Macaca fascicularis: one gene and its partner. The protein of the gene in region 2 purifies or fractionates together with the protein of the main gene of each other region. This does not show direct contact. Links are inferred from orthologs where the notes say so. Each region holds a gene or a part of one and is shown on either strand. Other genes may lie near its edges.

Region 1 (3,650 bases), on a different chromosome or scaffold from region 2:
GACCCTGGAGGGTGGGCACCCAGAAAGCCCTTGTGGGGCTTCTCTGGGGGCTGAGGAGTGGGCCAGGGCTGGCTGGTGGGCTCTGCTGGGAGTCCCAGCGGAAGGAGGCGGGGAGGAAGGCACAGGCTCGCTGCGGGCTCCAGCGGGTTGCTTTGAGGCCTCCTCTGCAGGCCTCAAGGGGCTGCTTCTGCAGCGGTGCAGGGAGCTGGGGGAGGGCTGGGCAGCCGGAGGTGCCCCTGAGGTCCCTGAAATACATGGCTTGTGGGGACACTGGCTCCCAGCTGACCTGAGGACCTCATACAAAATTAAAAGGCAGAGAGGCAGGCAAGGCCAGGCCTGGGGCCAGGGCCTCTGCACCTGCCCCTGCTCAGAGCTGCTGGCCCTCCCTGTCCCACCCCAGGCCTCTCCAGGCTGAGGTGAATTAAATATCGTCTGTTTTGTATTTTTGGCAAAGTCAGTCCTTGGCCTCTGTCCCTGGGGCCTTGGGGCAGTTACCGCCACCGGGGCCCGGCTACTGTAAGGGCCAGGGAGAGGAGGAAGGGCAGGAGGAAGGTGGGCGGCTGGGGGCAGCTGGCAGCCGAGGTCTTCTGCCCTTCCTGCTCCGACAGGCCTGGGAGGGCATGGGTCAAGGGCGTCCGGGAGCCGGAGCTCTTCCTGCTGGCCCCCCGGCCACAGCGATCATCTGGACAGCCATCACCGCTGCCCGAGCCACTGCCGTCGTCACCTGGGAAGGAGAGAAGGCTCCGGCAGGCTGGTCCCCACAGGAGACCCCAGGGCAGCATCACCCTGTGAGGACCCCACATGCCAGGTGACCCCGACATCCTTTCGGTGTGGAATCCCAGGACCAGCAGCACCCGATCCCCGCTGACCCTGAAGCTGGGAGACTCTCACTCCCTGGGGCTGCCTCCCTTGGTCCCTGGAGCCAAAGCTGATAGACATCCTGGCCAGGCCTCCAGGGGCCGCAGAGGTGCAGGGCTCGGTAACCGTGCCTGGGCAGCACAGTGTCCTGAGTCACTGTGGTGATGCTAGAGCAGAGGGCCCCTCGGGTGGGGGAACCTGGAGGGCAGTCACAGCCCTGCGGCACCCCCGCCATCCCTGGCCCCTTGCCCGCCCGGTCAGGCCCTGCTCTCACTGGCGTCCTGGAAGTCCACGTCATTGCCGTTGTAGGCGCTGCGCAGCCGGTTGGTCATGATCTTCAACTGCATGATCTGCTGCCGGATGGTCATGTCCGGCTTGGTGATGTCCACCTCCACCTCGGGGTTGTTGATCTGGTTGGCCAAGCCGTCACCCATGACCTCAGGGAGGTACCTGGAGGAAAGGCAGGCAGAGCCCAGGTCACTGCTCCAGCCCCTGCAAAGGGCCATCACCTGAGCAGGACACCCTCTCGCCCTCCAAGCCTGAGACCCTGGGCCTGAGATGCCCAGCAGGCCTCCAGGGACCGAGCAGAGCCCATGCAGGCCACAGAGAAGTGGGGCTCGAGCCCTCCAGCCAGGGACGTGGCCCTGTGCATACAGCACCCGGCCCAGGCACAGCCCAATGGAGACGGCATGGGAGGGAGGGCTGTGCCAGCCAGGCAGGCACCTACCGGCCTCTGGCCATCCCGTTCCAGCAGCGGTCATCACTGGCAGTGCTCAGGGCCATCTTCTCGCTGCACAGTGTCCCTGGGAGGCTGATCCAGAAGTCCTGGACGTCACGGAGCTGGGCCTTGGCTTCGGAGACCTGCCGGGCAGCAGTCAGGCCACTGGGTTGCCAGAGCCCGCCCGCCCCCACCTGTCTGCCTCCCTCATGCCTGGTCCGGTGGACCGGAGAGGGGCCACTCACCAGCTTCTCCAGGGTGCCTGAGGGTGGCCTCTCCCGTGGGGCCAGCTTGCCCCGGCGCCGCTTCTCCTCAGGCCCAGAACCCTGGGGGTTGACCTTGGGGTTCCCGCAGCCCTGGATGACCTGGGGAGACACCACAGGGTCCTTGGGGGGCAGCGGGGTCCCTCAAGCCCAATGGAGCCACATCCAGGACCCCCACCCCACTGTGCTCGTCATGTCCTCCCGCCCGCACCTTGGCCGTGAGCGTGTCCCTGTTGTCCTGGAGGGCGTTGATGGCCTCCGCCAGCCACGTGTGCACGCTGCCGATGACGCTCTCCACACCCGACGTGCCCCAGAACTTGTCGGTGATGAGCACCATGGAGTCTAGCACAGGCGTTAACACACGCGCACACAGGCGTCACCACGTGTGCATGTTAATGCAGTCTTAACAGCACAGGTCGGCATGGGAGATCCCGCGCACGCACTCGGGTTGGCCCATGTGATGTGTGCAGGCCACGTGCACTCAGCTGCACTCAGCCTGGCCCACGCCCACATGTGCACATGCGCCACGGGCACAGGTGGACACGCACACACGGAGGCCATTCTGCATGCTCGCTGGCCTGCCGTGTCTCATGTATGTCCACGCTGGCTCATGCAGGTGTTGACATGTACATATGCTGACTCACCTCGGTCCAGCTTGTGTGCACATGAGCCCATGTGAGCTGGTGTGTATGCATGCTGGCTCACCTCATGCCCCCCCACGTACACCTTAGTTCATGTGTGTGTTGCATGCATGGTGAGCACATGTACAAGTAAAGCTTATGCATTTTGTCAGCTCCCATCACATTAGCACACACGTGTTGGCTCCATGTCAGCACATGGTAGCACGTGTGTTGGCACAGATGCATGCTGTCCCACCTCATGTAAGCATGTGTACACGTTAGTGGATCTAGATAAGCATGTACATATTAGCACACACGTGTTGGCATGGATGCGGGTCAGCCCAGCTCATGTCATCACATGCACACAGGAGCACACACCATACTGGTGGGCACCGGCCCGCTGTGTGTCAGCAAGTGTGCACGCCAGCTTGCATGTGTTAGCCTGTCATGTGACAGTGCATATATGTGTTAGCTTAAGCAAGTGCTGGCCCTCCATGAGTCACATGTGTTGGCATGTATGCACAGTGAGTCACATGTGTTGGCATGTATGCACACTGAGGTGCTCACTGGGGAAGCACAAGAAACTACGACCTCACAGGGCTCCCTCCCTGGCAAGCTGCCCCAAGTCACACACCCTGGTCAGGGCATTCCTGATCAGGTCCCTGGGTCCAAGCCCTGAGCTAGGGACCACCCGCCCCCCCCAGGACCCCCGCCACACACTCCCCAAGACAGTTCCAGGCCGCTCTGGCAGGTGGGGGCTCACCCAGGAGGTTCCTCCACTCGGCATCCAGGTCGGCCTGGTTGGCGAGGCAGCCCTTGAGCACATTTCGGCAATAGTCAGGGCAGGGCCTGGCGCCAGGGACTCCCAGACAGTGAGCACAGTAGACCAGCTTCATGACAGCCCTCGAGCACTCTGGGCCCAGGGGGACCTGGGGAGCAAGGCAGCCTGAGCCAGATCCCAAGGCCCTGGGTGTGCCCAGTCCCAGCCAGCCTTTAATGGAGCCCCAGGGTGGGGGGCTCTGGAGGGAAGTCAGGGGAGGCCTGTGCTCTGCCCCAACTTGCAATGGCCCTTGCCTGACTCGCGGGCCTGCCAGCCCTGACGGCCCTCATTCTAATGATCTCAAGGGTCATGGGGAGGCACGAATATCCTCACCCACATGCTGCTGAGGATACCAAGGCGCCCCAGCCTAC
Region 2 (3,650 bases):
TTAGTAGAGATGGAGTTTCACCATGTTGGCCAGGCTGGTCTCAAACTCCTGACCTCAGGTGATCCACCTGCCTCGGCCTCCCAAAGTGCTGGGATTATAGGTGTGAGCCACCGTGCTTGGCTAGCTTTGTTTTTAGTTATCAAACTTCTGGATAGGTTTTAATCCTTAATCCACATGACACAGAGCAAGTGGCACAGAGCAGGTAAACGAAGGTGTGATGTTTTCATTTGAACTGCATCTCTAATGTCCTTTTGAATTCTAAAAATCTGGTTCAAGTTTGCAGGGCAAAGATTCAGAAGTGTGATCTATGCTCTTAAGCTACTTAAGTCTGGTTGAGACACACAAAGCATAATATAAGTGCTTTGTCAGTAGTAAATTTGGTAAATAATAGAAGACTTGAGAGAAGAGATGCTTACTAGACCCAAACATGTAGGAAAAAAAAGAAGGGGAAAAGAAAACATTGATTGAGCACTTTTCACACGCTGAACTCTGTGCCAGACACTTTCACATATGCAGTCATTTACGACATAACGTTTCAATGACCAATTGCATATACAACAGTGGTTCTATAAGACTGTAACACTGCGTTTTTCTATACCTTTTCTGATAAGCATTTCTTTATAGAAATGCTTATCACTGTGCCACAGTTGCCTACAGTATTCAGTACAGTCACATGCTGTCCAGGTTTGTAGCCCCTTAGGACAGGGGTCCCCAATCCCCAGGACATAGCCTGTTAGGAACTGGGCCCCACAGCAGGAGGTGAGCAGTGGGCGAGTGAACATTACTACCTGAGTTCCACCTCCTGTCATATCAGTAGTAGCATTAGATTCTCATAAGAGCAGGAACCCTGTTGTGAACTGCACATGAGAGGGATCCAGGTTGCACACTCCATTGGCCTCTAATGCCTGATGATTTGAAGTGGAACAGTTTCATCCTGAAACCTCTCCCTCCCACCCCACCCCCAGTTCTTGGAAAAAATTATCTTCCGAGAAACCAGTCCCTGATGTCAAAAAGGTTGGGTACCACTGGACTAGGAGCAACAGGCTATCCCATATAGCCTAGATGTGTAGCAGGCTCTGTCATTTGGGTTTGTGTAAGTACACTCTACGATGTTCACACAACAACAAAATTGCCTAATGACAGGTTTCTCAGAACATATCCCCCTCATTATGTGACACATGACTATATTAATTAAGAAAACCTGTGCCTGGCCCTAAACTATAAGCAGAATTTGATTAACCAGAATATGGAGGGCAAAACAATTCCACACATGGTATGGTGTGAGCAAAGGCAAAAGCAAAGCCAACTAGGACACCATAAGTAGATGTGCTTGATTGGAGAGTCCGGGGCTTTTTAACCTGGAGTCCATATAAAATTGTGTGTGCATTTTTCTCTTGAGAGCTTCTCTAGCTTTCAGTAGATTTTTCAGGAGATCTACAGCCCAAAAAGAGGTTAGTAAATTAGAGGAAAAGTGTGAAAAAAAGGCTAAAAAGGTAAATTCTAGAAATTATTAAATGCCAGCCTAAGGAATTTCAGTTTTTTCTGTGAGCACATTCCTGCTTTATAAGTAATCTTTAGACCCTTATCGATCTTAAGTTGCTACTAAGTCACATTTTCTAACATTCTAATTTTCTTTCATTTGTTCAAAGCTTGCCATTTCATGCCAATACAGAATAGCAACAAAAGACAGAAAAACAGTATTAGGTGTCCCTGAAGTCTTGCTGGGGGCCTTACCAGGAGCAGGAGGCACACAAAGGCTGCCCAAAATGGTGAGTCTAACATCCCCTTTGTGAACCTATATGCCCTCTTTAGATCTGTTTTCGTATATAAAATGAATAATATGGGCATTCATTGTAGAATTAAAAAACCAAATAAAATATGAGTGTACAGGATCAATGACAGACTTTTATTCCTGGTCTTATTTTTTCAATCCCACAGAATTTTTTTTTCTTTTTTCTTTTTTTTTCTTTTTTTTTGAGACAAAGTCTCGCTCTGTAGCTCAGGCTAGAGTGCAGTGGTGCGATCTCAGCTCGCTGCAACCTTCTCCTCGCGGGTTCAAGCAATTCTCCTGCCTCAGCCTCCCGAATAGCTGGAATTACAGGCACGCGCCACTGCACCCAGCTAATTTTTTAGTAGAGACGGGGTTTCACCATGTTGGCCAGGCTGGTCTTGAACTCGTGACCTCAGGTAATCCTCCCGCCTTGGCCTCCCAAAGTGCTGGGATTACAGATGTGAGCCACCACACCTGGCCTAATTCCACAGAATTATTGATCAAGGTCCTTTGTTAGTCTCTGAGGAAGGATAAAGATAACTAAGATGCATGTCTTGCTTTTCTGGAGCTTACGGTTTAATTGGTTCATTTTCCATATAGTACCATCTTAACAGTTTTTCAAAACCATGTCATATTAATATTTCATAATAAATATAAGAGACAGACCTTTTCCTTCATTATCTGATTTGGATGTTCTTATTGCTGTGTCCTATGGAACCAAAGAAGCTCAGCAGGTTTTGAATTCCAAGGAGAAGGGAAGGACAGTCAGACCTGGATGCTACAGAGCAGTCTTAATGTCAACTCAAGGGCCCACTGAACCTCGTAGCTTCTGGCACTCTAGATTCCTCAGTGAAAACAAGGCTCAACAGACATACTTTTTGCAGGGAAGTTGATCTCAGTTGAGCACAAAAGAAAACAAGGTTTATGGTGGTAATTTTCTAATAATAATAATGTGCTTTCCTTCATAGGAATGTCAAAAGGATTTATTGAAAGAATGAATATGCATATATGTGTATCAAAAATATTTGTTGAGTTTCTTTCTCCTTTTTTTTCTTGAACTATAGCTGGTATTTGAATGTTACTAGAAGCCATTCTTCTAATATCATATAAGCAGCCCTAGCTGAGTTCTATTTTTGTTAAGCTTAAAATTCTTTTTAAAGACTTTGTCAAAACGATCAGGTTTCTCAGAGTCTTTGCTGTTTTCAATATGATTTATTTTATCTTATTTTATTTTATTTTATATTTTATTTTATTTTATTTTATTTTTGGAACAGAGTCACTCTGTTGCTCAGGCTGGAGTGCAGTGGCGTGATCTTGGCTCACTGCAACATCCGCGTCCTGGATGCAAGCAATTCTTGTGCCTCAGCCTCCCGAGTAGCTGGAATGACAGGTGTGCCCCACCACGCCCAGCTAATTTTTTGTATTTTTAGTAAAGATAGGGTTTCACCATGTCAGGCCAGGCTGGTCTTGAACTCCTGACCTCAGGTGATCCACCTGCCTTGGCCTCCCAAAGTGCTGGGATTACAGGTGTAAGCCACTGTGCCCGGCCAGAATTTTAAATATTTTATAAATGATAGGGAAAAAAACCCTCAGAATAACAGAAATGTACAAATTTAGGAAACATGAAATTCTTTACCTTATTAGTATAAGAATCCTATATATTGAATTAAGAGATAAAGATATTTTTGCTTCAGCTAGAGGTATCTAATCCCCAAAGTTACCCAAATGTATATCAGTATATTAAATATAACTTATCTATGCTATTGACAAATAGCATAAACATATGGTTTGACTTTTTTCATTTTAATATTTGTTCATTTGATGAATTGTAAACTATATAATTATCACCCTGATTTCTTTCCCCCTATACTCTCATCCT

What was found.
Region 1: the proteins of HADHA (region 2) and GPC1 purify together in Homo sapiens (co-immunoprecipitation; 3 studies listed by BioGRID and IntAct, with this or other methods). This does not show direct contact. The link is inferred for Macaca fascicularis from reciprocal best matches to the Homo sapiens genes HADHA and GPC1.

The regions. Positions count from the first base shown.
Region 1 is NC_088386.1:136,338,826-136,342,475, reverse strand, and holds part of GPC1 (glypican-1), read right to left. Parts: intron 3,389-3,650; coding exon 3,223-3,388; intron 2,182-3,222; coding exon 2,051-2,181; intron 1,942-2,050; coding exon 1,822-1,941; intron 1,720-1,821; coding exon 1,586-1,719; intron 1,309-1,585; coding exon 1,133-1,308; intron 725-1,132; coding exon 492-724; 3' UTR 1-491. UniProt on the Homo sapiens protein: Cell surface proteoglycan that bears heparan sulfate. Binds, via the heparan sulfate side chains, alpha-4 (V) collagen and participates in Schwann cell myelination.
Region 2 is NC_088387.1:96,011,809-96,015,458, forward strand, and holds part of HADHA (trifunctional enzyme subunit alpha, mitochondrial), read left to right. Parts: intron 1-1,649; coding exon 1,650-1,769; intron 1,770-3,650. UniProt on the Homo sapiens protein: Mitochondrial trifunctional enzyme catalyzes the last three of the four reactions of the mitochondrial beta-oxidation pathway.